6 linked regions of the Mus musculus genome follow. The protein of the gene in region 5 purifies or fractionates together with the protein of the main gene of each other region. This does not show direct contact. Links are inferred from orthologs where the notes say so. Each region holds a gene or a part of one and is shown on either strand. Other genes may lie near its edges.

Region 1 (4,861 bases), on a different chromosome or scaffold from region 5:
CATCTCACCAGCCCTCTTTTTCTTTTTTTGAGACAAGGTTTCTCTGTATAGCCCTGGCTGTCCTGGAACTCACTTTGTAGACCAGGCTGGCCTCGAACTAAAAAATCTGCCTGCCTCTGCCTCCCGAGTGCTGGGATTAAAGGCGTGCACCACCACGCCCGGCTCAATCTTTCTTAGATAGAGGCTTGTGTAGCTCATACTGGACTCAAACCCCACAGGCAGTCAACAATAACCTTGAATTTTTGATCTTCCTGACTATCTCCCCAACTACCACAAGCACTACCACATGCAGTTTTAGGGTGCTGGCTAATCAAACCAGGATCTCTTATATGCTAAACAAGCACTCTACCAACTGAGCCACATTCCTAGCCTCAAAAAGCACACACTGAGGGCAGAAAGGACTTCTTACCCATAGCATCCCGTTTACCCATAAGGTGTCTAGATCGCATCAGGGTGGATTTGGGAGTGAAAAGCCTGGCTTGGCTCTAACCACCACATGGACACAGCCATGTAACTAAGTAACCTGTATGAACCTCCATTCCTCTCCCATAGATTGGAGCAGTTAGACTAGATGAGCTCTGACCTACCAGGATTCTGATGAAGAGAATAGGGATAAGAATGCATGAAAAGCAGGAAGGAGTAAGGTCTCAGTGTCTAATGCTATTACTAAAGCTGTATCAACAAGCCCTAATGTAGACTCTGATGGGGACTTTCACTGAGCAGTCACAAGAGACCACTGCACAGCTTAGTTTGTTCCCAGCAAACACAGCACACACAGCAACACTACAAGTACAGCCTGAGTGGGTTCAGTGAGCAGGAATAACTATAATTAAGGGATAAATGTGCTGGAGAGCACAGCACAGAAGAGAGCAGGCTCACACTGGCTCGCCTTTAGGAGGCAGCCACGTCCTTACCACACAGGAAAATTGGATAAACAAGGCTGACTGCAGCAGCTCCTTTGTTTCTGCTGATGGGAATTGATACTGACACTGGAAGTCAAACGGAAGAAAGGACCAGCCCTGTGGGGCTGAAGACTGCAAAGTCAGAGTGCGGAGCCTGAGGGAGGCCTGGAGGGATGACTGGAACGTCCAGTCGGGGCCCCTGCAGGCCAGGTAAGATTCTAGAAGGCCAAGCAGGTGCTCTAGTAGGAAAGATGGCCGGATAAGACTGCATGAGTGTGTGCATGTGTGCGTGTGAAGAGAGCAAAAGAGGAGAGTGCACACAAATTCAAGACTCTGTAGCAAAAAATTCCAAGCTTCTGTTATTCTATGGATAGCCTTATATAACTCTAGAAAGTTTTAAAAACTAGCTGGCAGCCATGGTTATTTTAACACTAGTATTTACTCTAATAAGACCACTATAAAGACTATTTCAACCATGACGTTGTAATTGAGAAAAACAGAAAATTAAGACAGAAAGTCTTCTCACACGGCAAAAAATGAAAAAGATGAGCTAGTGGTCTTTCCCTCAGTGAGTGATGGCAGCTGACAGAAGACAGAAGCATACTATTTTTTTTAAAAAGGCATCAGAAAGGCATCTTTCCAGAGTGAGAATGGTGTGAGAATCAAAGCCTTCCCTGTAAAGGGAAAGTTCCCCGGGGAACATGTTAGGAGCTTCCAGTCTTCTGCACTACAGCTGAGGAGAAGCAAGTTAGTGCCCCACTGATACTCAGGAACCAGTGAGTTAAAGAGGCATGAAGAGCAATGCTCTATTTAAATGGGCACCCAACACTTAAAATACTACACCAATGGGTTGGCAACTCCATTTTCTGCCAGACCATCTTTCAACATGAAGAACTCCATTGACATCTAATTCTGAAAACCTAGGCAAGCATATTCTTTTAGACAGTAAGATTTTCAGGGTAAAAGCTGTGACTCCTCCTTTCACAGGAAACCTGGGGGGTGGGGAGGGGGCACAGGACAACTCCCCTTCCAGGGGAATAAGGGGGGTCCAACAAAGAGAAAGGCAGGGTAATAAAGACTTAACTTCTGAGTCCAGAAGGAGAACTATAAAATTGGTAAATTAACAGCCTCATTTCTAAATTGAGGGAAATGTCAGCCTGAAGAGAGCCGGGGATCCGGAGTGGGCAGATCACAGAGATAATAGCGTTGGGAGGAGGGGTGGTTGAAATAGGCAGCAGGATGAAGCCAAAAGCGAGATTAAAAAAAAAAAAAAAGCCACAAGAGAAGGCACTTAGCTTAATGGAAGTGGAAAAGCATTTTCAAAGAAAGGGGCTGCAAGCAGCAGGGAAGAAGCAACTTAACCTTAAAAAAAATTTTTTAAAAGCCTCTTGGGACGATTGGGGCTCAGCCCACGACAAAGACAGATAAAGCTGCGAAAAGTCCTCCAGAATGGTTCCAAAACCTTTACTTTGTCATCCAGAATCCAAAAGCTTTGATTGGACAGCTGAAACACTTCAATTTCTCTATCCTTACATCACGTCTAACATGGCCATTAAGGGAAGAGAAGGCCATTCTTAAATCCAATGGGCACCCCGTTCCAAAACTCTGATTCTTCTTCAAGAAGGAAGGAAGAGCCTCATCCAAACATCTCCAACTGAGGGGAAGCGACTAGCAGGCCAGTCCCCGTTCCCGGTGTCGCCCAACAACCGTTTATTTCAGCTCCACTGGAAATCTGACCCGCACAATGGCATCTGGGGGACAGAGAACGCCCACCTCAGGGCTCCTGCGGACTGGAAGGCCATCTGGCTCCGGTCTAGTTCCCCACTCCCCGAAGTTCTGCTCTTGGACCAGTTCTTCCCAAGAACATTTTTAGTTTCGTGGACCCCGGATTTCCCGGTTAACGTCACCAGGCTGCTTAAGTCTTAGGACTCCGCAGGGACGGCGGAGCCTATGGCCCCAGGGACGGCGGTGGGCGGGGAGGGGACCCCGATCTCCTAGTGCCGCCGGCCTCGGCTTGGCGGGACTGACGCGTCTCCAGAGAGGGGCCAGGGACCGTGAGCCTCTCCTTCGCAGCCCGCAGCTCCGCTCGGGGCTCGGCCCGCGAGGAGGACACCCGTCGGGGGCTCCGGTGTGCCCCCCTCCAGTCCTCCACAAGTTTCCAAAAGAAGCCCAGCGCCGTCTCCCGAGTCTCCTGTTGCCCTCCCTCCCAGCAGTCGCACAGCAAGGACTTCCCGGGCATGTCCTTCTCTCTACCTTGTCTCTTCCCGCACCTCCCTCTCTACTCCCAGGTCCTTTACAAGATTTCTGGTACATGAGAGATTAAAAAAGAAAAAAGAGACAAACAAACAAAAAAGACCACTCACAGCTTCACTACATTCTCCACCACAGCCGCCATCTTCCCTGTTCCTCTCCCTCAGGCCGGGAGGCCCCGAAACCTACAACGCGCAGGCGCTAAGCCTTCTCAGGACACAGGGTCCTCGACCCTCTGCGCAGGCGCAGCTAGGGGGTGCGCGCACGCACAGGCCCACGAGAGCGAGCGCTCGAGAACGACCTGTCCTGAAGGAGCCTAGGATCCCAGTGCGCAGGCGCGATTGGAAAACTTACATGCCCTCTGCAGCTCATTCTAGAGATCCGTCTCCCCTCCATTTAGTGACGCCTCAGCTAGGAGATCTGGCTCGGTTGGAAAGTGAGAAAGGTAAGTGAAAAGGCCACGCGGATAGGCTAGAAGTTGCAAACAGTGTCCTGCCTGGCTGGCCGTTAGCCACGAGGTTGACACACAGGGAGAGATTGGTGGGTAGGTAGTGAAAGGTCAGAGTCCCAGTCCTTTAGGTACCTCTGTTCCCAGTCAGCCCATTTTAGAGAATGGAAAGTGAGTGCCCAAAATGGGCTGTTCTTGGGCCTGACTCTCATTCGGACAATTCCTGCCAGTAAACCCGGTCCTTGAACTTCACTGGCACCCACCTCTTCTCTCTTGCTTGCCTCTCTCTCCCTCTTCCTCTCCCTCTCTCTCCCTCTCCCCTCTCCCTCTCTCTCCATTCCTTTGCTCTGTATGTCTGTCTTTGTGTGCGTGCATGTGCCATAGCATATGTGTAAGAGTGAGAGAGCAGCTTGGGGATGTGAGTTCTTTCATTCTACTTTGTACCTGGGGGATGGTGGTCAGGTTGTCAGGCGTGGTGCCCAGAGTCCGTATCTGCTGTGTCATCCCACAAGCCCTTGATTGCTATTACCAAGCCATTCTCCACATTGAAAGTTTTCACTGGTGTGACTAGCCCTCTTAGTTCTATACTATTTATTTCTCCTTCAGTATCGAGTTATGCAAATCCATGAACAAACATGTTTCCCCTTAAAGAAGAAACCAGCCGGGCGGTAGGGGCACACACCTTTAATCCCAGCACTTGGGAGGCAGAGACAGGAGGATTTCTGAGTTTAAGGCCAGCCTGGTCTACAAAGTGAGTTCCAGGACAGCCAGGGCTACACAGAGAAGCACTGTCTCAAAAAAACAAAAGCAAAAACAAAAACAAAACAAGAAGAAGAAGAAACCAACAGGACTCCCTTAAGCCCATTGGCACTGCATCTCAGCCCATTTCTTTTCACTCTTTCTAAGCAGATTTTCATTCGTATTCTGTACTGCCCTGTTTTCCTAGGCTCTCTTCTGCTTACTGAGTGCTTTTGTTCCCACCAGGCCTTTTGAAATAACTCCTAACAAAGTCACCAAACCTCGGTTTCAATGGATTTAGAAGCGATCTACTCTCTGTCCATGTTGGACCTGATATATATGTGTATATGTATATGTATGCATAGATTGTCTTTTTTTCTTTAGGAGGTAGGAGGATTGCCACAAGTTCAAGGCCCATGCAGGCTACACAAGCTCCAAGCCACTGGGGCTACATAGAAAACCTGAGGGACAATAGCAACAAACAGCAAAAGTTCCCAGAGCCTCCACTCAAGTGGAAACTTCT
Region 2 (4,901 bases), on a different chromosome or scaffold from region 5:
CAGCTTCTAGCAATTCTGGAACAGGCTCCTCCTTGGTCAGCTTTGGGGGTTCATCAGTACCGCCTGCAGGTGTCCCCCCTGGATCTGTAATACCAAGCAAAGAGAGACTTCCTAAGCAGCTACTCTGTGGTGGGAGAATGGATCAGGGACAAAAGAAGCAGGCAGGCACTGGTCACATATGGCAGCAGCAGAGGGGGATCCCTAGTTGCCAAGGAAGGCAGACTCAGTCAGGTTGGATCTCGTTAGTGGGGAGTGAGCCAGGAGACAACAGAGGTAGAGCAGAACTTAGGCAGACAGAAATAGATGCTTAGCAACCACGGATCCTAAATCATCTGCAGAATGGAAATAGTGTCAGTCAGACCACGAGAGGCTGCTGTGTGTGGGGGTCAAGGGTGGAGCTGCTCAGTAAGTGCCAGGTAGCAAGTTCATTCATTCACTTACTCATTCATTTCTTACATTTCTGTGGTAGTAGAGATGGGGCTCAGGGCCTTAGGCATGTCAGATAAGCACCTACCACTGGACGCTTCCCCTGCCCTATCCGTTTATATTAGCAAAAGTATTTGGAACAATCTCGGTATGGCCCAGGGGCCATGTCATGGTGTTCTTGACAGGGGAACAATTTTGGCGGCAACAGTTTGTCAAGGCCTCAGTGTGAAGTGAAGGAACCAGAGGCTGCGGGGAGCCGAAGAAGGATGTGAGGCAGGAAAATAGCCGTCTCGAACGTGTGCTTTAGGAGAGCTGCTCTGCAGCCACCGGGGACAGGCGTGGAGGCCAGAGCAGGTACAAGGGAGAAACGAGAAGGCAGAGCCAAAGGCACAGGAGTCAGGCACGCCTGGGAAGTGGTACTGACCAGACAAGGGGTGGACTATTTGAAGACAGAGGAGCTGAAGAAGGCTCAGGCCCAAGGTGTTGCTCACTGGCTCTTAAGTCTGGGCATCTTTCTCTGGATGTTGGTCTCCTCGTGTACAGAGAGGACTCATGATAGAATCATTGGTCCCAAAAGATGACAGTGAAGATTAAATGCGAAAACAAACAACAGAACTTCGGAGTGCTCAGAGGAACGACTCACAGACAAGCGGTTCTGTTAGCTGTTAATCTACTGCTATTAATCCCTATGATTATTGGAATTATTTATTCCCTGAACATCTATTACGCATCCCACATGATCAAGATCGGTATGGCTGACAGGAGATGATAACAGAAAAAGACAATAAGCAAGCAAAGAAATAAATCTGCAAAAAAAAAAAAAAAAAGTCAGCTGGTGATATGCTCCCTACAGATCTAAGAAGCCGGAGGATTGAGGCACAGCTGGAGGTGATCTCTGCCAGGGTCAGGGAAGATTCCCTGAGGGAGGCGGGACCGGGTGAGAGGACATAATATAAGAAACAAGGACAGGATGGTGGGTTCAACTTTGATGAGAGGGCTCCTGAGAGCCACAGGGCCCTACCTCTCTCCTGACCCAATTGTGGGGGCTGAGTATCTTCAGTAATCACTTCTGGGGGTCCAGTTGGTGATCCAGGGCGGCTGGGCTGGGGCGTCCCCCCAGGGCTGGGCTCAGCACCCTTTTGCAATGAACCTTCAGAATGGAAACTCTGGTTGCTGTTCTCATCTGATGAAGCAAAAGCCGCGCGTTAATTAGCCAGAGATCCCCAGGGGATTCCTTCAGTCCCCCCCACCCAACTCCATTCCAGAATCTCTACATACCATTGAGATCCAGTAGGATGAGGGGGCCTCCCCCTCTGGGACTGGTGCCCCTACCACGTCTCTCCCGGCCACGGGATCTCTCTGCCCCGCCTCCTGCCCGCCGCCTCTCCTGGGGGTTAGAGAGGTAAGATCAGAGCTAGTTGTCTAGGGAGCTCTTACAAAGCCCTTCAATACGAATAAGGAAACCTAGGCTCAGAGAAGCGAAAGGTGCTGCATCAGGTTGTGTAGATTGAGTTAGGCCTTGAACTTGGAGAAAGTGTGTGTGTGTGTGTGTGTGTGTGTGTGTGTGTGTGTGTAAGTGCGCTCGCGCCCCCTAATAATCGTTACCATCTGCCTGGGCTCCACACTGGAGTCTCCAAGCCGACTGAAGGTGGAGGCCAAGGCTGGGAGGGAAATTGCTTGAGGCTGCACAGATGCAAGGCCTGTTGGGGGTTGGGGCTTGCTCACCTCCTCCTGGGGATCCACCACAGGCACCCACTTGAAGATTCGAAGGGAAGTGTCTCCCACAGTCACCCAGCGCTTCTCCCTGTGGGAGGTCAGGAGACTGGATCAGGGAGGCCCAAGGATGAGCCCCACAGACTGGAGGTCAGGGAGGTGTGCTAGGGTAGGGACAGCTTCGCTAACACTGGCACAGAAGCAGAAAGAGCCCTCAAACCCCAGGGCAAAGCAGAAACGGATATAACTTGGAGCTGCGGTTTTGCAGACACCTGGGGCACTCAGCAGGGCGCCACCAAGGCCTGGCCAGGGACTCTGGCAATGAAGACCCGGGGCCAAGCTTGCTAGAGTGTCAAAAGCTTCAGGGGGCGGGGCATAGATGAGGGCTCCCGCTCAGGGAAAGCACCACTCCGGACCACGCTTTGTAGACCTCTGGGAATTGCCGGGGAAAGGGGGCGCCCTGTCGATTCAGAGCACAGCTGGTGGGCGGGGGCAGCGGGCCAGGAAAGGGCGGACGCGTTTGGAGGAGGTGGCTTGGCTGTATCCCTGGCCCGGGGGCAGCGCTCACCATCTCCGGACCTTCTCGATGGTCGCCATCACCTTCTTGATGTCATCTTTGGCCCGGCTCCGGGTCTCGGCCCGCACGGTCCGGCCGGCCATGCTGGCGGGGCTGGGGCCGGGACAGAGCCCGTGGCGGGGCGGCCTGTGGTCCGGCGATCTCAGGCTGAGCGCCAGGCCCCAGCGCCGCTCTTTCGGCCTGCCGTCCCTCCGGGAGTTGGCCGCGCCCTCCCTCGCTCCCCAACGCCTCCGCGCGTCCCCGCCTGGCTTCCTAAGACCGCGCCCCGCCCCGGCCCGTCCCCGGAGCGGCCCGGGCGGCGCGGGCTGCTAGAGCCCCGGCCTGGAAGCCCGGCCAGCCCCGCCCCGGCCCGGGCCCGCCCCTCGGGGCGCACGGACGCACAGCGCCCTCTGCCAGCCACGGAGAGGGAGAGCTGGGGGGCAGCTGTGCGGCTGGACGCGCGCGGCCCGAGCGAGGCGGTGCGTTCCGGCCACGTGGGCTCAGGGGTGCGCGAGAGGGACTGTCCTGGTGTGCGTCCGCGGCGGGTGGGCGTCCCTGAAATGCTCTGTGCGCGCGTCTGCCCTCTCCAGGCTGTTTGATTCTACGCTGCCCAACTTAATTTGTTCATTCATTCATTGAACAGTCCCATGAACAGTGCCAAGTACGCGCCAGACGCTGCGAGTGGAGAGCGGGCCTCCTCAGCCAGAATGGCGGGAATGAGAAAGACCATGTAGATGGGGTAGCAGAGCAACTTGGCATTCCTTGAATCAGGTTGTGTAATTGGTAGAGATACTTTGGAAAACTGATAGTCTTCCAGTGAAAAACTTATACCAACCCCGTTTTCCAACACTTTCCACTCCCAAGCTATCAACACTCAACAGAAGAAATGTGTGCTTGCCTAGTTTTTTGTCAGCCTGACATAAACTAGGTCAGCTGGGATGAGGGAACCTTGGTGGAGAAAGGGCCTCAATCAAGATGCCCTATGGGTAAGTCTGTGGGGCCATTTTCTTGATGGTAGTTGATGTGGCAGAGCCCACACCACTGAGGGCAGTGCCACCTCTGAACACTCTAAGAAAGCAGGCTGGACAAGCTTTGGGGAGTAAGTCAGCAAGCAGTATTCCTCCAAGGTCTCTGTTTCAGTCCCTGCCTCCAGGTTCCTGCTTTAAGTTCCTTCCCTGACTTCATAACGGACTATCACTGCAAGCTGAACTACATTCTTCCCTCCACGAGGTGCTTTTGGTCATGGTGTTTATTACATCACTAGAAACCTCACTAGGACAAAATGTGGTGTCTGTATGAACACCAAGATATGAATACTGGAAAGTTTGGGACTCTTTTCACAGTAGCAACAACCTGGAAACAACACAAAGAATGGAATGGAAGGGGCTGGCGAGATGGCTTAGTGGGTAAGAGCACTGACTGCTCTTCCAAAGGTCCTGAGTTCAAATCCCAGCAACCACATGGTGGCTCACAATCACCCATAATGAGATCTGACGGCCTCTTTTGTTGTGTCTGAAGACAGCTATAACAATAAATCTTTATAAAAAAAAAAAAAGAATGGAATGGAAAAGCAATTACAACCTATTTCTACCATGGACACGGACAGAACAGCCAGAATCACCAGAGTCCAGCTATGTGCAACAGTGAAGAGAGATCTTGGATGAAAGAAGTCAGATGTGACAGCATGCATTAGAATAATAATTAGAATAATTAGAATTATATACATACATACCTACATATAATTCTATATATAACAGAAAACAAATACATTTTGGGGGGGGGGTCTGGACAGTGATCACTATTGGGACTACCAAGCAAAAGAAGGGGTTTCTGGGACCCGCTTGTCACACTGGTCTTAAGTCTGTCAAGATGTACATTTAATACTTGTGTAATATTTCTTGTGTCTATTATAGTTCAGCTAAAGGTTTACTTAAAATGGATGCTGTCAAGATGTCTCAGTGAATAAGGCATTTGCCACAAAGCCTGATGACCCAAGCTCAAAAATTGGGAGCCCATGTGATAGAAGAGGGAACCCACTCCTGACAGCTCTCAGACCTCCACACCTCTTACACATCATACACAGGCAAAATAAATGAGAGACGTTTTGGTTTTTCCTTTAAAAGAAAAAAGGCCAGATGTGGTGGCTCACACTTTAATCCCAGCACCCAGGAGGCAGAGGCAGACAGATCTCTACATGTTTGAGGTC
Region 3 (5,097 bases), on a different chromosome or scaffold from region 5:
CCTAGACGGGTGTCTACCGTGAAAGCTCTGACCTCCCTTTGTCTTTTTCCCTCCCACTGGGCCTCCCAAGCCTGACCCAAAAAGGGACCTACCACATTGTTCTCCCTCAGCCATCTTCTGGCTACCTTACACCCCCACTAACCTGCTCTGCTGGGACACCAGGCAGAAGGGGAAGGAGTGGAAGCTGCAAACTGTGGGTGGGGCAGTGCGCAGGTCATGCCGGCTTCTTCTGCAGGGCAGAGGAAGGGTAGGGGTATTAAAAAAAAATACCTCCCTGGGCTTTCAGGCCGGATGGAATACCAGACACCTTAGCTCTCCTCTACATAAAATACAGAGTTCCTCACTGATTCTGAATATTTCAGATAAATGGATAACTTTTTGGCATGTGTCTCAAATATTTCATGGGATATACTACTTACATAAAGGGGTGTGTGTGTGTGTGTGTTTTGTGTGTGTGTACAGTCTAAGGACAAAACCCAGAGCCCTGTGCATTCATTTTATTTTTTATTTAATTTATATTTTTGAGACAAGCTTGAATGTAGATCAGGCTAGCCTTGAGCTCAGTATGTAGCTGAGGCTAGCCTTGAACACCTGGTTCTCCTGCCTCTACCTTACAAGTCCAAAGGTTATAGGCACGCACCCAGGGGGAACGGTTTATTTTTTAAAAATCACTTTGTTGTTTATCTGAAATTCAAATTTACCTGGATGTTCTGTGTTTTTTCATTTTCATTTCTGGCAGCCCCATGTCCTAGCCAGTGGTGAAATGCATGGTTGGTGCCCACGGTTAATAAACAACCCCCAAAGCCTTCAGGGGTTGATTGCAAGATTGCTGTTACAGACAGGGCAAGACCAGATTTAATGACTCAAGGAAGACCCCTCCGTCTCTATTTAAGATGGGGAGGGAAGCAAATCAAAATTTCTACAAAGTCCACCTTACATAAGGGCCCCTGTGTACTCCAGTGACTCTACCGGACTAGCCAGTCCTCAACAGCTCTGGAAGGGGAGGGGGGGCCCGGAGTCCCCTAGTTGACAGAGTCAAGGAACTGAGTTTCGTATTTTGCCCAAGGTCACTGCTAGGAAGTGAAGTAGAAACTCATGCAGGAGATCCCAAAAGGCCTGGAGTCTTTAGAGGTCATGATATACTTATTTCTCCCAAAAGAACATAGGGTAGAAAGCGGCCACATCCCCCACTGCACTCCCAGGCTTGGCAGGCTGTGAACCCGCTAGCATGGAAGATGAAGCCTCCAGGCCTGCTGCTCTGGGGCCCGCAGGGTGGAAAGCCCCAACCCTCCATCTGCCCGCCCAGCAGAGCAGCTGGCAGACCCAGCCGCAGCTGTCACGGCTCCAGGACCAGAAAGGGAGCTTACACCGGCCCCTTTCTACCCTCCAGGCGGGTGACAGACAGAAGGGACTCTTGCCCTGCTATCAGTTCTTTCTTTGCACCGGGGACTGAGGCCAGGGAGGGGTGCCACCCCAGCCTTCCCTTGAGAGTCCCACAGGAGAGGGGCCAAGGTGCTGGTTTTCCTGTGTTTTGGCCTGCAGCTGTTTCTGCCATTTTTAAATGGCTGCAGTTGGGCACTGGTCGCCCTGCTCAGCGGGGAGCTCCCCGGCACCCAGGACTTGGATCTCAACTTTGGAAAGCCTCCCCTTCTCACGGTTGTGAAAATTCTTTGTCCCATTGGAGCCAAACCCAGCCCACGGCGGGCATCCGGCCATCCGCAGACAGCCCTTTCCATAGGAGGCCCGGGAGCACGTGGACTTTATTGATTTTTCTCGTTGCCTTTTTTGTTGGGTTTCACTCTGAAAGGACAGCTAACTTGTGACACCATCAAACCGGAGACAGGTCCCCAGTAGTGTTTAAAAAAAAAAAAAGGACAACAACAACAGAGGCGTTACTCAAGAAATGACCCCCCCCCCCAAAAAAAAAAAAAAAAAAACAACCCAGCCTGCAGTGGAGCCTAGCCAGTTCCTATAAAGGACAGATCCAGCCAGCGGCTGCTGACACTTGGGGACACCCTCGCAGCTGCTCCTCTCCCTCTCGGACCCAGATGAAGCCGTGGGAAAAAAACCGTAATAAAGTTAAAATCAGGGAGCAGGGAGTTTTCAACAAGTCTGACCCAACCTGGTGGTGGACTACTGGCGCCTCAGGCCTGGCCTCTGGGGCCGCCTCGGTGTCAGATCCCGACGAGGGCCGAGAAAATGTTCCATCCTACTAATTATAACGAGGCCACGCCGGGCAGGATCTAATTTGAGCTTGAAAAACACGCACGGCCCACACCGAATCTCGCGGTCTCCTCCTCCCCCAGTGCAGAGAACAAAAACAACGGTCGCTCGTTCTCTCCGCAAAACAAACACCAGCTCCAGCAAGAAGGAGGCAAGACACGGCCCAGGACTTGGCTTCTGGATGCAAACATCGCGCTCCCCGAGCTTCGGGTGCCGCGCGGAGCGCGTGGGAGCCGTGGGTGCTCCGCGCCCCGGCCGCGCCACCGCCTTCCTAGCGCTCGCCCCCATCTTCCTTCCTCGCCCGGAGCCCTCGCTCCAGGCTGCCCAAAGCGCTAAATTTAAACGGCTCGCGCTCTGCAAACTCCGCAGACTCGAGGGCGCCGAGGCCTGGGAGGCGGGGAGCTGCGGGCGGGTCGGGGCGTAGGATGTGTGTGTGTATGTGTGTGTGTGTGTGTTGGGGGGGGGGGACACCGGCGCCGCGCCGCCCCGGGAGGAGACGGCGGCCCGCTCCGCGCTGCACAATGGAGCTCGCGCTCTGCCCGCCGCCGCCGGCATCACGGCCCCGGCGCGCGGGAAGCCGCTTTCATGTGACTTGCACAAAAAAACGAAATGGCTTCTGGGGCCGGCTGCGAACCCCCCTCTCCCGAGAGCCGAGCTCCGAGCTCCGGGCTCCTGCCGCCGCCGCCGCCGCTCTCGCCGCCGCCGCGCCAGGTGGGTGACCGGCGCCAAGCACACCTGGGCAGCGGACGCAGCCCCCGCGGGGCGCAGGTGACCCCGGCCGCGCGCCCTCGCCAACTCCGGGCCCGGGGCCGCTGCGCCCCGCCGCTCTACGCGCTGGGTCCGGGCTTGCTGGCGGCCGCGACGCGGTGCAGCGAGCCGGGGCGAGCGAGAGAGCGAGCAGGCGCCTCGGCTTACCATTTGCGCACTTTCTCGATAGCCGCCATGACCCTCTTGATATCATCTTTGGCCCGGCTCCTGGTCTCGGCTCGAACCGACCTGCCCGACATGGTTCTGGCGGGGAGGGAGAGAGAGAGGAAAGAGAGAGAGAGAGGGAGGCTGGGGGAGCGCGCCCGCCGGGTCCTGCTCGCCACACTCGCCCGCTCTCTCACTCGCGCACAGACACACACTCACACACATACGCGCACACACAAAGCCTGGTGCCGCCGCGCGCCCGGGGCCCAGTGCGCAAGCGCCGGGGCGGCAGCTGCACAGAGCGAGGGGGAGCGGCGCGGCCGCCAGCAGTGCGGCCTCCGGGTGCCGCCGCCCTCCCCGGGGAGCCTCGGGGACCTCACTCTGGGAAAGCTCTCCCGGGTAACCCCGACCTCCCAGCACGCGGGACGGGCCCGCGCCAGGACTCACCCAGAGGCCGCAGGTGCGATGGGGGGCCCCTCCCCCCCCCAAGACACACACCCTGGGGATGGCAGACTGCAGGCCGTGGGTGCTCTGGCTCGGGTTGGTGGCCGCGGGCGCGATCGTGCAAGTTTCTTGTCGGGCGTTTGAGTTCTCAAGAGTTGGAGGCGGCGGTTCGGGACGCGAGGTGATCTTAGAAAGAGTTGAGGCGCCGGTCTCTGGCCAGCTGCCCTGTTAAAATGTGCGAGCTAGAACGTCTCCTCCCCATGCTTAAACTAGAGTCGTAGGAAAGGTGCCCGAACCCGGTGGCAATTGACATTGTCTCTGGGCTTTCTTTCCCTTAGAGATAAGTTGTCCCAGTCACGGATCAACCTCCCTGGGGTTTGACCGAAAATGACAATTTAATCTTAAACGGCTCCTGGTGGAAGTGCAGTGTAATGACCCGGAGCAGCAGGTAAACTAGACTGGCCCAACACAGAAGGACTTATGAGAGGCTGTCTCCCTACCCTAGGACAGAGCTGGGTGACAGGATCTACCGCGGTCACCCAGTATAGGGACAGGTGGGTGTGCAGTTGCGGCTACACAGACTGGACCAGAGCGAATGCTTGTCCACGTGAATGCTGGGAAAAGAGATGACCTGAAGTGAGAGAGCTGCTACCTGGAGAGGAACTAGCGCAACATCAGTCATTTCACAGATGGACAAACTGAGTCAAGGAGTTATTGAAGGTTGCAGCAGTGACCTTCATCTGTGACTGCCATGATTCTAGTACCAAGCATCTCCCCCTGAAGTCTGGGGGGGTTGCAGGGGTTTGGTAGAGGGAGCTAGTGGGGAAATGGGTGTGAGAATCTGGGGAAATTTCCCCCAGGCTTCTTTTAACCACTTTAAACGCACGGTCCTAAAGCGAAAATTTAAAAATAAGAACAACAATCAGATGTGGTAGCCCACTCCTTTAATTCCAGGCAGAAGCAGGTAGAGATCTGTGGTTCAAGACCAACCTGGTTTATGTAGGTAGTTCCAGGACTACATAGTGAGGCCCTGTCTTAAAACAAAACAAAACAAAAAAACAACCCAAACCAAAACAAACAAAAGCAAAAAACCAACAACAACAACAAAACAATGGAGCCAGGCAGTGGTGGTACACACCTTTAATCCCAGCACTTGGGAAGCAGAAGCAGGCCGATTCTATGTATTCAAGACTCAAAGCCAGTCTGGTCTACATAGTAGTGAGTTCTAGGACAGCCAGGGCCACAAAAAGAAAACCCTGTCTCAAAACAAAATAACACACCCCACAAATATGTCAAAGAATCGTTCTGTGATGGATTGAAAAATGTGCCATAAATCCGAAGTCTCATGCATTTGACCCTCTGTATTTGATCATCAGATATGTGCTTGGACCCCAGGGAATTCATTTTTGTTTAGTGCAGAAATTGTGTATGCTAGGCAAGTGCTACACCACAATTCCCACATAGAATATATGTGTATATATGTATGTGTGTGTGTGTATTTAAATAAGATATATCAAA
Region 4 (5,144 bases), on a different chromosome or scaffold from region 5:
TAGGGTTCCAGCAACTACATAATGGCTCACAACCATCTACAGCTAGCATACTCATATACATTAAATAAATAAATAAATAAATAAATAAATAAATAAATAAATAAATCTTTTTTTTTTTTAAAGAAAAAAAATGTAGGGCTCAAGTAAGCATGCTCTGCCGGGCATGGTGGTACACGCCTTTAATCCCAGCACTCGGGAGCAGAGGCAGGCGGATTTCTGAGTTCGAGGCCAGCCTGGTCTACAAAGTGAGTTCCAGGACAGCCAGGGCTATACAGAGAAACCCTGTCTCGAAAAACCAAAAACAAAAAAAAACAAAAAACAAAAAAATAAAAAAAACAAACAAACAAAACAAAACAAAACAAAACATGCTCTGCTCTCCTCCAAATCTGTAGCCCTGGTCCTTCTGATAGCTGCCTGAACCTAAGAGCCTCATTTGGAGGACATACCCTGACCCTATGAACAGAGGTATTTTAAACTCTGAGCTGAGTGAACCCTGCAATAATGCACACTAGGTTTTGTTAAGCTCTTCAGGGTAACTATACTCCAAAACTAGAAAAAGCCTCTAGAGTTAGGTGGGCTATCAATTTACTTCAGCAGGCTCCCCAATATGCTCATCTTGAGCACACAAGTCTGCTCACCCCAAGAACTCTAACCAGGAGCCCCTCTGGCCTCAGATCCCAAGACTTGCTGGAAGTTGGACATGGGAAGAAGCAAGCGGGATCTCCTTCAAACTCAACCAATGCTAACTGGGTTCTCCTTCCCTCCTTTCCCCTGCCTTTCCCTGGAGGAGGAAGAGGAAGAAGAAGAGGAGGAGGAGGAGGAGGAAGAGGAGGAGGAGGAGGAGGGGGAGAGGAAACATAGTTGGTATGGGATGCCCAGATTCAAGGCTATCTCCTTTCTCACAACTAGCAGCCGCAGCCATTTGGCTGGCCAGCCTGGCCTCAGCATAGACCCAAGGCTACTCTACAAAATATGCAGGAATCCATCTTCCAGTCTTCAACAGGGGCTTTCCCAATGGCATGTTCTCTATCAGCTGCTTTCCAAGGAAATGGGTCTACATAGTGAGTTACAGGACAGCCAGGACTATATAGAGAGACTTGGAAAACCAACCAACCAAACAGACATCCCCAGTGCCTGTAGGAAGCTTCCAGACCAGCTCTAAACAAGCAGAGCCAAGGGCTGACGCAGAGACTCATCAGTGATATACTAGGCCCATGAATCTCCAAAGAAAGCCACATGGGAAAGATAAACCCCGCTAGTATCCTTGGAACCACGTCTATCTCTGTTTATACCCAAACTCGTCATTTTCTTTTTAGATAGGAGTTGAAATGAAGGGGGTCACTTATCCCCACTCCGACCCCCAGTTAGGTATCTCCTGGGTATCTGATTCCTGGGCTGGAGAGATGGCTCAGTGATTAAGAGCGCCGACTGCTCTTCCAAAGGTCCCGAGTTCAAATCCCAGCAACCACATGGTGGCTCACAACCATCTGTAACGAAATCCGATGCCCTCTTCTGGTGTGTCTGAAGACAGCCACAGTGTGCTTACATATAATAAATAAATGAATCTTTAAAAAAAAAAAAAGAAATCTGATTCCTGGGTGGAATATGCATACATCATGAAGATCTATTTCTGAGACTTCTACCTAGAGACACCAGCAGGGGACAGAGCAAGCTACAGTGCACACCTCTCACCTCTCTGGCACATAGGTTGAGAGACATATGGCCTTGTCAGGAACCTGAGGGATAAGGAAAGAGAGGTTGGGCGTGATAGTGTGTGACTGTAATGCCAGACACTTGAGAGAAAAGAGTTCAAGGTGGGCTTTGGCTACACAGCCAGCCTGGACTATATGAGACCCTGTATCAAAAAGCAAGTAACAAAAGTGACAAGGATGTGGGAGAAGGATGGGCACAATCCCCAGGAAAGGAGGTGCAGCTCCCTGATACAGCAATCGTCTGCCACGTGCAAAGCCCTGCCTGGATTCCATGCTCAGCACCAAAATGCAAAAGCAAAACAAAATTCCCAAACATTCTGGAGCCACTTGAACCAGAGCTCTGGGGAATGAGGAGCGCCACATGCAGAATCAGGCTGAGTTCCCAATGCACTGACCACGGGTCCTGTCTCTGCTTGTCAATGGCCTTTGATGCTGCAACCTGAGACAGCTCTCTGCCAAGACAGAAGGGTCAGGGCAGTACCCTGTGCAGCCCAAGACCAGCAGGACTCCACAAAGCCTCCCTGCTCCTCCAAACTTTACTGGACACTGGCATCAAGAAGGAAAGCCCCGTACAGAGGATATCTTGAATGGTCTGTTAATGGGATCGGGCCTTCTTCAGACCTGGACACAGCTATTTCTAATCTATCCTGGAGTTATCTGGGCCCAATCTCTTTAGTCTCCCATTTCGTAGGAAGCCTGGCTTCCTTCCTCCTCAACTTGAGCAGCTGGGAGCCATCTCAGACATACTAACGCTCTGCCAGTTCCCAACTAGGAAGAAAAAAAAAAAAAAAAAGAAAGAAAGAAAGCCAAGGCAGAGATGCAGTGGGACCGAGGCCAAAGAAAGAGTAACCCTGTTTTCTCACTAACGACCCTCTTCCAAATTTTCCTCACCACATCCCGGGTCACTCCCTCACCTCCACTCCGGGACCTGTCTTACACTTTCAACCTGATTGCCCACAATTCTCTAGATCTCACGAAGCCTCCATCTCTAAGTTACTCGGAGCCAAGAAGCCCCGGGACTCCTCTAACTGCTCAAGCCCTCCACCGCAGAGGGCTTTCACCCTTTCCCCAACACTGCCTCCAACCCCGAGCCACTAACCAAGGGACTCTGGCCTGCCCGCCACCAGCCCTCGACAGTTCCTCCTGCAGTGTCCCCTGGGCCGCCTGTCCTCACCTGAGGCCCCAGGGAGACCGACACAGCGCCCTCGCGGCGCCGCTCGCCTGCCCTCCTCACCTGGTACTGCGCCGCGGGGCCAGCGGGGCCCATGGGGCGGAAGGCGGCGGCCCCCGGTACCCCCATGCCTCCAGAAGGCCCCGGGCCCCTGAGCGCCGGGCTGGGCAGCATTCCGGGTCCCGCAGGCGGAGGCGGCGCACCAAGGGCCGCGGCAACGGCGCCGCCGCCGGGGCTCAGCGGAGGCAGCGGGAACCCGCCCGCGCCACGGCCGGACATCACTCTGTCCCGTCCCGCGGTGCAGCGATCCGGCCTCCGGTCTCCGTGTTGAGTCCGCTCCGCGAGCTACGTTCCGCGATCCGGGACTTCCCGATTTTACTACCGGGTTCCGGGATCTTCTACTCCAAGTTCGCAAGTTCTTTGCAGCCCGGCTTTAGGATCCCGCGGCCCCTCTGACTCCGCTCCTGCCAGGGATACTCCAGATCCGGGATGTGCCGCGAGCCCGCAGGCCTCTCCCGGCCTCCGGAGGTTTGATCGCCGGAGTCCAGTTACCCAGAGGCGGTTACGAACTCCCAGCCCCGCCCAACCTAGACCCTGCAGGCCCCGCCCCTGCCCGGCAACCCAATCGAGAATGCCTCTTTAAATCCCGCCCTCGCGAGACCCGCCTCAAACCAGCACCTCCCATAACTGACGGCCTTAGAGCCCCGCCCTTGGGGGAGGCGGCCTTTTCCCGGAGGAGCGGGAGCGGAAGCTGCACGCGGAAGCGCGGAGGAGAAAGGCGTGGGGTCAGAGTTCGAAGGTCGCGTAGGGCCGTCCGAACTGTTAGGTGTTTGCTGTTTGCTCCGTAGTGCTGCTGCCTCGGCGAGATCCCCGATATGGCCCATCCAAAACAGTTCCGTCAATTCTGCGTCTTCAAGCCTTAAAAATAAGCGATCCGCGGCGGGAAAGCCGCCAACCACTTTTTAAGAGCCCATCTCGGGGCCGGTGGCATAAGGCACCCCACACCCACCCACCCATCTACCCCCAGAAGCCTGTATTGGTTGCTCCGCGCTTCCAAGGACATGGGCGGCCCCAGACGTGACCCAGCTGAGTGAAAGCTTGGCTTGGCCCAACTCCGAGTACTTAACTGCACTAACTTGCCCGTGCCTTTCTTTAAGGAAGCCTGGTAATTCGCAGAAAATGTTTTTAGGTGAAGGGATTTTGCATGCTGAGAGAACTCCAGGTACTGAAATAAGTTTTATCCAGTTTGTATAGGACTTAGTTTTGAAAAGTTGAGAATCAGCCGGGCGTGGTGGCAAACGCCTTTAATCCCAGCACTTGGGAGGCGGAGGCAGGTGGATTTCTGAGTTCAAGGCCAGCCTGGTCTACAAAGTGAGTTTTAGGACAGTCAGGACTACACAGAGAAACCCCGTCTCGAAAAACCAAAAAAGAAAAGAAAAGTTGAGAACCTTTTCAGAAACCACTGGCTTCGGCTATGTTATAGACCTACCCTCTGTCAATGTGGTATCTCCTACCCACGGTATAGAATAGTGCTACTTAACTAGGCACTGAAAATCCTCAGAATCAGGTTGGGGGTGTAACTCAGGTTATAGCGTGCACAAAGCCCTGGGCTTGAACCCCAGACTGCATCAACTACATGGTGGTGCATCCTCAAAATCCCAGCACACAGGAGGAGGCAGGTGGGCCAGAAGTTCAGGATGGTTCTCAGCTGCATCACCAGTTGATTCTACAGGAGACCCTATATCAGAAGAAAGCCGAGCTTTTTGTTAAAATGTGGTTTATGGTTCAATGAAATGGGGGCAGGGTACAAGATTCTGTATTTCTTTTTTGGTTTTTCAAGATAGGATTTCTTTGTGCAGCCCTGGATGTCCTGGAACTAGGTCTGTAGACCAGGCTGGCCAAAGATGACATAGGCTTTGGTCTTTTGACTAAACTGCTTTTGTTAACTTGTCCAATAAAGAGTTGTCCTGTAGGTGGGTTGATCTCACTTGTGTGCCACAAAGCTTTTGAGCTTTCAGAGATGGTAGCAGGTCCCAAAAATGTCAGGGAAGCAGGGTCTCGAGACCAAAGCCAGCATGAATTACTTATATGAAAAGTAAGGTCTGGATCAGTTACCTAAGACTGTCTGGGCAGAGTGAAGGCTCAGTTACCTAAGAACTAGACCTCCTGGGCAGAGAGAATGGGGGAGGGGGGTCTGTCTCCAGAAAGGCACCTTCAAGTGACTTTGGTTCAGAGCACCTGTTTAGTGGAAGCCATTTGAA
Region 5 (4,415 bases):
GTTCTCTTTAACATTGCACAATATAAATATTATACACGCTGGAGCAAACTAACGCAGAGTAACTTGGAGGCACACAGAAGAAACATGACGGGTGCAGACTTGGGTTAAATCAGTAGTGAGAGGCAGAAGGTCGTGGTTTCAGGCCAGTTAGCTTGCAGGGCCCCATGTCACAGTGGGTTGGCAGCCACCACCCATCCATGAGGGAATTACCACTTCTCAATGTCACCAGAGTTAATTGCTTCAAAGAAGACCTAATTAGCTAAACAATCTGAGAAAATCAAATTGTTGCTCCCACTCTCAAGTAGGAAACCCTGAAAGTCCCTTCTGGCCTTTGGGCATCATTACCAGGAAGCAGTTGTTACATCTTCCCTATTTCCTGTAAATAACTTGGTTACTATGGCAACCATGCTAGGCAAACTAGAACAGCATTCAAGAACACCCATCACAGTGCGTAACAAGATTTAATGTACATTTATTCTTAACATGTGGGACATATAAAGATTTTATACTGAATAAATGATATTCATTAAGCCAGAGGAAAAGGAGGAATTTACATCAAGTTTTTTTCTTTTTTTTTCTTTTTTTTCTTTTCTTAAACTACATTATCTTGAAATACAAATGTGGATTCTTGTCACAGAAAAATCTTTGAAGTTGTGTTTCTTCCATTTAGTTGGTTTTCTTTCTTTTTTCTTTTTTTGTATGTACTGGTGTCCATTTTCTAAATCAATCTGTATGCAACCATTTCCACACTTTGATTCATGAAGCAAACTGGGATCAGCCGCTCTCCCAACAGAGCATGACTTTATACATACAGAAACTTGTACATTACCCTCTTTTTTTGTTTGTTTTTATTTTTTGTATTTTTTGTTTCTTTTTCTTGTTTTTTGGAGATATGGTCCTAATGAAAAAATATATAAAATAAAAATAAAAAATTATTTAAATCTACCATCACTTCGTAGTTACCACATCATGAAAAAGAAACTAAAAACTTTGTACTAAAAAAAAAAAAAAAGAAAAAGAAAAAAAGAAAAAAAGAAAAGAAGAAAAAAATGAGGGTATGTTTAATGTACAACTTCTATATACATCACAGCCCATAGGCAGTAAAAAAAATATTTAAAAAAATGATGAAAGAAATCTTGAAGCTTTGTCCCGTGGAGGCTGAGCCACAGCAGACATGGCGGTCGTGGTGAGGAAGCGATCCTGCTGTTGGCTGCTAGGAGTGGATTTTTGCACCTATCTGAGAGCGCTGTTTTTTGCTCGAGGCCTAACGTAACCACTTTCCGGTGGAGAAAGCAGTATCATTGACCCTGACTACTGCTGCCATACCTCCTTCAGCCCCTACACTATATCTCTAGAAGTTTCTATTGCACAGAGCTTTGGGTGACGGGGTGCAGTTTAGCTTTTATCATTCTGTGAAGAATAAAATTCATAGGAAATCAATTTAAGAATCAATTTTTCCTTTCACGTTTTTGACCCAGTGTGGTGACATTTTTCTATCTTAGCACTTTTTGCCAAAACGTTTTTCTTTATAAAGTCAATTCACTTCCCAAAGACTGCAATACAACATGAAAAAAATTATGAAAAAACAAACAAACAAACAAACAAACAAAAATTGTGACCTTTGAATGCACTAGACGGCAACTTTGGTTAAAAAAAAAAGAAACAGAAAACCGCCAGAGGATGTACTTATACACACAGACAGCAAATATTAATTTTATAACTGTTCAAATTAATGATTTAATTCCCAATTGGTAAATAGTAAACGGGGCAGAGGAGCAAAGATTTTTCTTTTCCTTCTTCTTACACTGGATAAACGAGAACAGAAAACAGCCAGTTATATGTGACCCTCTAATGTTCACTCACACATGTGTGCCTTCACGGATGTCATAACTGCCCAATCTGAAACAGTACATCACAGATGACAGATGCAACCAGAGAGTTCAGGACAGCTGATATTGAGATATCCAGCAACCGACCCTCGTGCAAAAGGAACTCCGAGCGGTTCTCGTCCACTCTGGCCATGGCCAGCAGAGCTTTGGCCGCCCGGCACATCATGTCTACACTAGGGGGTTCCAGAGGTGGGGGCTGCATGTGCATAAGGTTATGCTGGCTCTGCTGGTACTGCGCCATCGTCACCCCGTCCTCTAGGAAGCTTATCAAGTTACCAATGCTTCCTTTCTGCACAGCTATTGCCCTCGCCGCCAGTGTGTCCCCCTGGGCAAGGTTCGATAAAAGCGCCATGGACATTTCTCGACAGACTGGATTTTTGCGATCCCCAACGTACCTAACTAATGTAGCATAAAATTTCTCCTGACGACTAAATGGAGGCGTGGCCAAGATCAGGTCCACGTTGTTGTCCTGGATACTGAGTTTACACAGGGTCTCCAGCACAAGTCTCTGCGGCGACAGGACTGAGTTGGGCCCCACAGTGGGAAAGGGGTCCTGAGCCTCTGCGGACGGGCACACCATCCAGTGTAGCAAGCCGTCCAGGATCGGCAAGCAGATGCTCTCTGTGTAAGCAGACAAGTCTAGCTGCCCGGAAATGTTCGCCAACGTGACCAGGGTGTTATCCCGCAAGACCTCGAGGCAGTCCCACCACCACTCATCTTTGCTGCAGGCCACCCCCTTGTCCTCGTCCTCCTCCTTCTCATAGGTCTGTGGCGCCCGCTTTCTCTCCGGATGCTCGTGATGCAGCAGAATCAGCTTTCCCAGGATCAGCACCAAGCCCGGGTGTTTGGACATCTCTGCGTCGTTGCCAGGCACGAAAGACAAGCTCCGCACGATGTTCGACACACAGATGCAGCGCTTGGCCAGTGAGTCCTGCCAGTGCGCGATGGTGCACAGCGGCGTCTCGTCTCGGCTCCTGGGCTCGTCTTCCAGGAGCCTGATGTTCCGGTGGCTTTTGGCCTGCTGGATTCCAAAGGGAAACTTGCCGCTGTCGGTCTGGGGTCCTGGGTTGGTGTCTTCAGGCAGAGCCCCTGGCCGGGCAGACAAGACGTCATCGATGGTGGCTATGATACTTTTCTCTGGCTGCTCTTCAGAATCACCTTTGCCTTCCAGCTCTTTCTTCTTACCCGTGGAGCTTAGAGGCGGAGGTGGACGCCTGCGAGGAGGGATCTCCATCTTGCTCTCGAAGTGAGTCTGGATGTGCTCGGTAGTGTCGCCACCACCCAGCTGCCAGTGGAGGAGCCCGCTGCTGAACTCCTGCACTCGGCCCAGCTTGTCGGACCGGTCCACCACAAACAGCTTGTTCTTTTTGACAATCTTTATGGGCAGCTTGTCAAACTTACTGGCCTGCTTTGGCGTCTCCTTGGGGTCCACGGAGGCATCTGGAGCAGCTAGGGCAGGGCTGCTCTTCCCCTCTGACTCTATCTTTTCACTGTCTTCCTCCTCCTCCTCTTCCTCCTCCTCCTCTTCCACAAGACACTCAGCATCATCGTCTTCCTTCCCAGAATCATCTTCCAGGGACTGGCTGTCATCTTTCTTCCCTGAACGGTGATCAAGAGCCTTTTGGCTGGGGTCACCCACTTCATATTCCATAAGAATTCCGAAAATGTCAATTAGGCATTTTCGAAAGTACTCTACTAATAGTTCCAGGAATCCAGACAGCTAGAGAAGAGGGGAAAGAGAACACATACAGGGTCAGGACCTCAGCTTTGACAGTGTGGGCAAGAGCCTGAGCCTAGGGCAGCTTTGGGTCAAGACTTCCATATTGTTTAATGTCCTTCTGACCAGACCCTAGAGGGCACACCACACGTCTGAGAGCTACCATCCTGATGATGGACCAAATGTGCACGAGTGTGTCTCTGCTCTCCTGACAATTGGCACTGCAGGCACCGGCACCAGCCTTCCTTGGTCATGGCTCCAAAGTGTGGAGAGTCCCACCGCTCTCTGTGGCTTGCATGACTTAGGGGGTGCATTGTGAGGAGCAGGAGCAAGGCTTTTATAGACTCTTGCACCCAAAGTGAATCTATTTGCTCCTCTACTGTTTATGTGGGAGTCGCCTGCTGGGCTTTTTATGGTTATTATTCTTAGGGTTTATGGTTATTCTTGTCTCAGGTGCCATAGGTGCCCTGATTTATGCTCTCTCTCTCTCTTTTGAAAGAGATAATCTCAGTAACGTAGCAGCTTCATAAAGAATGAAAATTATAAACAAATCAATTTAGTCCCTGATAAATGAAGGAGACTGCTTTATAAAATGCAATTTTACATTTCAGTTATTCACAATGCTAAATGAAAGACAAGAGCCACTGGCAGAGTCGGTCTGTGGGAAGCCGAGCTCTCCTGCCTGCCTTACTCGGGCTGTAAGGACGTGCAATGAGGGCTCTGTGTGACTGATGCTGTGGAAACCAACCACGGTGTCACATCTCCTCTCTGTTCTCAGGGCTTGGCACACCTGTCTCAGGCGAGGGGAC
Region 6 (4,415 bases), on a different chromosome or scaffold from region 5:
TTTGGGGGGCCCTGTAACTTTCCAGCCAGCCAGCCACTAGTACTGTACGAGAGCTTTGCATGGGAGACGCTGTCCTATGCAAGAACTACCATTCCTGGAGAAGGGATGTGCATGTGTATGTGTGAAGGTATATAGATACCTCCTTCGTAGTAATGTTGTGAGGAATCCTCATAAGGCCTATCGTAGCCTTGTTCAGGATACGACGGTTGCTGATAACCGTAATCATTATGACCTACATCAATTCGACAAGAGACAGGAAGAAACGTTAATGGCCACTGAGTGAAAACCCTACAATTAAACTTTAAGATAAAACTGAAGAAAAAAAAAAAGAAAAAGAAATGGAAATACATAAAAAAATAATCTTAATTGCATTAGCAAGTATTTACCAACGTGAAAGCTTTCACTGTGAGATTATAAGCATACTATTTCAAGGCAAAGAACAGTAATCTTAGAAATGTTACACTCATCCTCCAAACTGTGATAATCCTCACTGAGGACAAAAAACCCTTACATCCTATTTTAAAAAAGAAAGTGAGAACATTTAGGCCTCTCACATGTAAGAAATTCGAGACCAATCAGAATGAACAAAGGATGGAAGTTATCATAGTTTAATCAAACCCCTGTTCTACTGGACGCCATTTCCAGCACACACTAAAAACAATACAAAATATGAGGTCCTTGAGTTTGTACTCCGAAAAGAAGTGAAGTGAGTTTCTAACACCTCTAATATTTTATTGCATCAAGTACAAGTGTTTCACAGTATTTCCAGATGCCAAAAAAAGTCATTTTTTTTTAAAGATATGGTCTCTCACCCTGGGTTCCTAGAGCTCGCTCTGTAGACCAGGCTGGCCTCAGACTCACAGGGACCCACCTGACTGGCACCCAAGTAAAAATGTATCTTATAATGCTGTCATTTAAAGCTTCTTTAGAAATATTTCTAGAGTATTCTGCACATAAAAGTTCATAAAATTCATATTTCCTGAGTTGGAGAACACCTTAAGTTTTATGACTCAGTAACTTCCACCAGTAGACTATTTTTTTTTTTAATTCTTTAATGTTTCACTTAAAAACGAAATGTAGGAACTAATGTCTTCAGTTGCTAAATGGGTACTAATGCTCCAGAAAGGCCTACTTAGGACTGTAGTCACAAACACATGTCACACTCACTGTGTTAGGATGAAAGTCTCTAAGAGCTGGCAATGTATGATCAACCAGCTTACTGTGGCCGTGGCCGGCTGAGATCAAAGTTCTATTGTGACCCAATCATGTCTGCTCACTTTAAGTGCTGCCCACAGCAGCTCTCTTGCTATCTTTAAAGGTCTGCAATGTGACAGCAAGACCACATGGCCCACAAGGACCAAAACCTTCACTGCCTGGCCCTTTGCAGAAAAACTCAGGCAAACACTCACCCATGTATTTATGGGCAAGACTATCTGGACCTGAGAGAAGATACTCACTTTTGCCTAAGGAAATGTAATTGTGGCTAACACTCTGTACTTGTCAGGGCCTACTATACATACATCTGTGAAACCATGGTACTACTTAGACTAAGAACAAGCTAGCACAAGTAATAAATGTTAAGTTTCAATAGTTACAAAAATAAGGTGCCTATTTTCAATAGAAAGGTTTAAAATAAGACAAAGTTCGTATTTCAGGAAATGTTCAGGACCCAAAACCATTAAGTTCAACACAATTGCTTAAGATGTACTTTAAAGTTGATTTAAAAGATCATTTATTCTGAGATTACTTCTATTTACCAGATAGATGCCACCTTTGAAATCTTCTATAAATGTACTATTAATAAAGTCTAAATTTCAGAAAAAAAAAAGCTTCATCTATCCACAAAGAATTAAGGAGAGGAAAAAGCCCCAATACTCTGAATACCAATGGCAAGAAGACCTGAGATTAAAAGCACACAGCTCTAAGCGGAGTTATGCACCATCACTGACCAACGCTTCTGTGTGTAGCCCTGGTGACAGTGCTTAGCACAGACATGCCTTTATGCCTTGTATGCTGACGAAAAGCAGCAGATGAAATGCCATTTGAATGCAAACTCCATCTTCTTGGTGGTTTGCGTTAGGTTCTAGCCAAGGGGTCCTAAACGTTAGTCTGAAGTTTCTTTGCCATATAATTGCGTTAAAAAAAATAACAAAAGAATTTACTTTATGGATGAAATATTTTGGCAAAACACTATGAATTACTATGTAATATTACTTTTTACCTATTAACATTATCTATTATTTTACCGATTCTATGTTGAATGTTTCTTCAAATTAGGATACAAAATTTTCAAACAAAAAGAGTTTTAAACTGCCCAGTAGAAATGCCCTTGTACACCTGGATTATCAGTGCCTGCACTTTCTTAGCGGAGTCAACTTCTTACAAGTCACGTCCCCTTTTAAAGGAGGCAGGGGGAAGTCGCTAAATTATAAACCCAAATGCCTTGCGTACACTCAGTCTATTCAGTGCACCTTATCTACGGCTAGATTGCAGACACATCTTTTCTCAAGAGCAAGCATATAAGGCATAATTCTTTCCCAAGAATGGAACATAAATAAAATGAAAATTACCCAAGAATATTCTCTACAGTCTTATAGAGCTATATTCCTTATATAGAATGCATAAGAGCAAAACAATGAGTGAACTTTATAGCACATGAATTAAATCTATAAAAATACAAAAAAAAAAAAAAGAAGTAGAAGAAGAAATTTGTCTTGGGTTCAAATGAACAATCCTAAATATAAAAAGCTCCTCTTTCACACGAGAGACAATATAGAGATAGAATGTAGCTCCGGATGGACCAACAGTGACCGCACAAATATACTTTGAATTAATTACAAACCAATGTCCTTCCTGGTGGTACTATACAATACCCAAATGCTTTCTTCTAAATGAAGAAACAAGTTGGTAGTTTCTTCGCCCTTCATTAAAGAGTTGTGAAATGCTGTCTGCATTGATACTGGGCAAGGATAGAAACGGGAAGGGTAACATTAGGAGAGATTACCATCAGGGTAATATTGCTGGTTCATGCCTTCTGGAGGACCTTGTCCACCATGACTGTATTGGTCCCCATAATAGTCTTCCTGGCCTGAGTACTGCTGTGGTGGGCCTGAAAAACCACAACCAGTCAAGACATAAATCATTTGTTCTCTATGGCATCAAAGGCGATCGTTCTAATCTGCTGTTACGAGAGACTACTTCTGAGCTGGAGACCCCACCATGCTTTGGCACTATTCCCAGGTACACACACAAGCAGGTCCACACGTCATTTATAAAATTAATATAAGATACACATAATATCAAACAATATCAACTCGGAAAAACAACCTCTGAAACAGGGGCTGAAGCTGGTGGGAACCTGACTTCTTTTTACTTTGACATTAACGCTAAAGCACTTTGAAGTAAAATTGGCTTTGTTCTGTCATATATTTAGTAGCTTCTAAAAAAGGGAGGGGGCATTTTCTGATATTTATATTTCCTGATGTCATCTTTCCCTGGAGAACACCAGGCAACAGGAAGCTGGGTGCTGGGACGCTCCTATGTGCCTAGGACCCTCTGTACCCTAAACCCTGCTCCCTTCGTGGGTGTCAGGGGAGTCCAGCAAAAGCCCTGGATTTACCTAGATCAAAAGTTCATTAAAACTTCAAGCCCTTCAATTACTGTTATTTACATTAAGCACGGAATTTCCCAAATGGCGTCTCACCCTGTTGCGGAGGTCTGTAGGGAGGCATCTGTCGCTGGCCCATCATGTGACTGCCTTGGTTAACTTGGCCCATCAGCCCCATGGGCGCCTGCTGTCCTTGGTAATGCTGTGCCCCTCCAGGTGGCATATTGTACTGCTGAGAAGGAGGCTGCTGGTGCATCATCGGCCCTAAGGACACGCAAAACATCATCATACAGTATCCCGGCACAACAGTTCACCATTTCATGATAGATACAAGAACTTCTTACAACATAATACGCGAGTGTGTGATCAAACAAGGAACACTGACTTCAAATATAAATGAGTCTCTGCACAAAGCTCACAGGCCAGAATTTATCTGCAAATAAGGAAAACAACCAAGACCTGGTGGTGGCCCTCAGGTCCACCAGAGTGCTCCCGTTATCTTTAAAAAACAAAAATGGAGACAAGCTCTTTCTGGCATATACATTTCCTATCTGCATCATCTCACCATCTCTCTGACAAAGCATCCTCCTGCAGCAAGAGGAAAAGGCTGGAGACAAAACCAACAGAAGAAACCAACTTCCAGGCTTCTACTTCCTTCTCTAAGTAGAGGGGAGGAGAAAGATGACTTCTCTGTATGCATGTGAGCCTGCATGATGTATGCACACCGCATGCATGCAGGAGCCCAGACAAGGGAAGGCATCCAGAGAACAGAGTCACAGGTGCTGTGAGCTGCCCGCTGTGAAGGCTT

Evidence for each region.
Region 1: the proteins of Arid1b (region 5) and Dpf2 purify together in Homo sapiens (affinity purification with mass spectrometry; 7 studies listed by BioGRID and IntAct, counting the BioPlex papers as one, with this or other methods). This does not show direct contact. The link is inferred for Mus musculus from reciprocal best matches to the Homo sapiens genes ARID1B and DPF2.
Region 2: the proteins of Arid1b (region 5) and Bcl7c purify together in Homo sapiens (affinity purification with mass spectrometry; 4 studies listed by BioGRID and IntAct, counting the BioPlex papers as one, with this or other methods). This does not show direct contact. The link is inferred for Mus musculus from reciprocal best matches to the Homo sapiens genes ARID1B and BCL7C.
Region 3: the proteins of Arid1b (region 5) and Bcl7a purify together in Homo sapiens (affinity purification with mass spectrometry; 4 studies listed by BioGRID and IntAct, counting the BioPlex papers as one, with this or other methods). This does not show direct contact. The link is inferred for Mus musculus from reciprocal best matches to the Homo sapiens genes ARID1B and BCL7A.
Region 4: the proteins of Arid1b (region 5) and Smarcd2 purify together in Homo sapiens (affinity purification with mass spectrometry; 5 studies listed by BioGRID and IntAct, with this or other methods). This does not show direct contact. The link is inferred for Mus musculus from reciprocal best matches to the Homo sapiens genes ARID1B and SMARCD2.
Region 6: the proteins of Arid1b (region 5) and Ss18 purify together in Homo sapiens (affinity purification with mass spectrometry; 4 studies listed by BioGRID and IntAct, counting the BioPlex papers as one, with this or other methods). This does not show direct contact. The link is inferred for Mus musculus from reciprocal best matches to the Homo sapiens genes ARID1B and SS18.

The regions. Positions count from the first base shown.
Region 1 is NC_000085.6:5,909,476-5,914,336, forward strand, and holds the start of Dpf2 (zinc finger protein ubi-d4), read right to left. Parts: upstream 3,397-4,861; 5' UTR 3,298-3,396; coding exon 3,266-3,297; intron 1-3,265. UniProt on the Homo sapiens protein: Plays an active role in transcriptional regulation by binding modified histones H3 and H4. Is a negative regulator of myeloid differentiation of hematopoietic progenitor cells. Might also have a role in the development and maturation of lymphoid cells.
Region 2 is NC_000073.6:127,705,729-127,710,629, forward strand, and holds the start of Bcl7c (B-cell CLL/lymphoma 7 protein family member C), read right to left. Parts: upstream 3,039-4,901; 5' UTR 2,800-3,038; coding exon 2,708-2,799; intron 2,231-2,707; coding exon 2,152-2,230; intron 1,814-2,151; coding exon 1,705-1,813; intron 1,610-1,704; coding exon 1,448-1,609; intron 85-1,447; coding exon 1-84. UniProt on the Homo sapiens protein: May play an anti-apoptotic role.
Region 3 is NC_000071.6:123,342,763-123,347,859, reverse strand, and holds the start of Bcl7a (B-cell CLL/lymphoma 7 protein family member A), read right to left. Parts: upstream 3,413-5,097; 5' UTR 3,231-3,412; coding exon 3,139-3,230; intron 2,935-3,138; exon of another isoform or gene 2,718-2,934; intron 1-2,717.
Region 4 is NC_000077.6:106,269,547-106,274,690, forward strand, and holds the start of Smarcd2 (SWI/SNF-related matrix-associated actin-dependent regulator of chromatin subfamily D member 2), read right to left. Parts: upstream 3,427-5,144; 5' UTR 3,163-3,426; coding exon 2,947-3,162; coding exon of another isoform or gene 2,887-2,946; intron 1-2,886. Other genes in the region: Tcam1 (testicular cell adhesion molecule 1), read left to right, coding at 4,088-4,105. UniProt on the Homo sapiens protein: Involved in transcriptional activation and repression of select genes by chromatin remodeling (alteration of DNA-nucleosome topology).
Region 5 is NC_000083.6:5,340,557-5,344,971, reverse strand, and holds part of Arid1b (AT-rich interactive domain-containing protein 1B), read right to left. Parts: intron 3,610-4,415; coding exon 1,885-3,609; 3' UTR 1-1,884. UniProt on the Homo sapiens protein: Involved in transcriptional activation and repression of select genes by chromatin remodeling (alteration of DNA-nucleosome topology).
Region 6 is NC_000084.6:14,637,253-14,641,667, forward strand, and holds part of Ss18 (protein SSXT), read right to left. Parts: intron 3,872-4,415; coding exon 3,704-3,871; intron 3,110-3,703; coding exon 3,005-3,109; intron 233-3,004; coding exon of another isoform or gene 140-232; intron 1-139. UniProt on the Homo sapiens protein: Appears to function synergistically with RBM14 as a transcriptional coactivator. Isoform 1 and isoform 2 function in nuclear receptor coactivation. Isoform 1 and isoform 2 function in general transcriptional coactivation.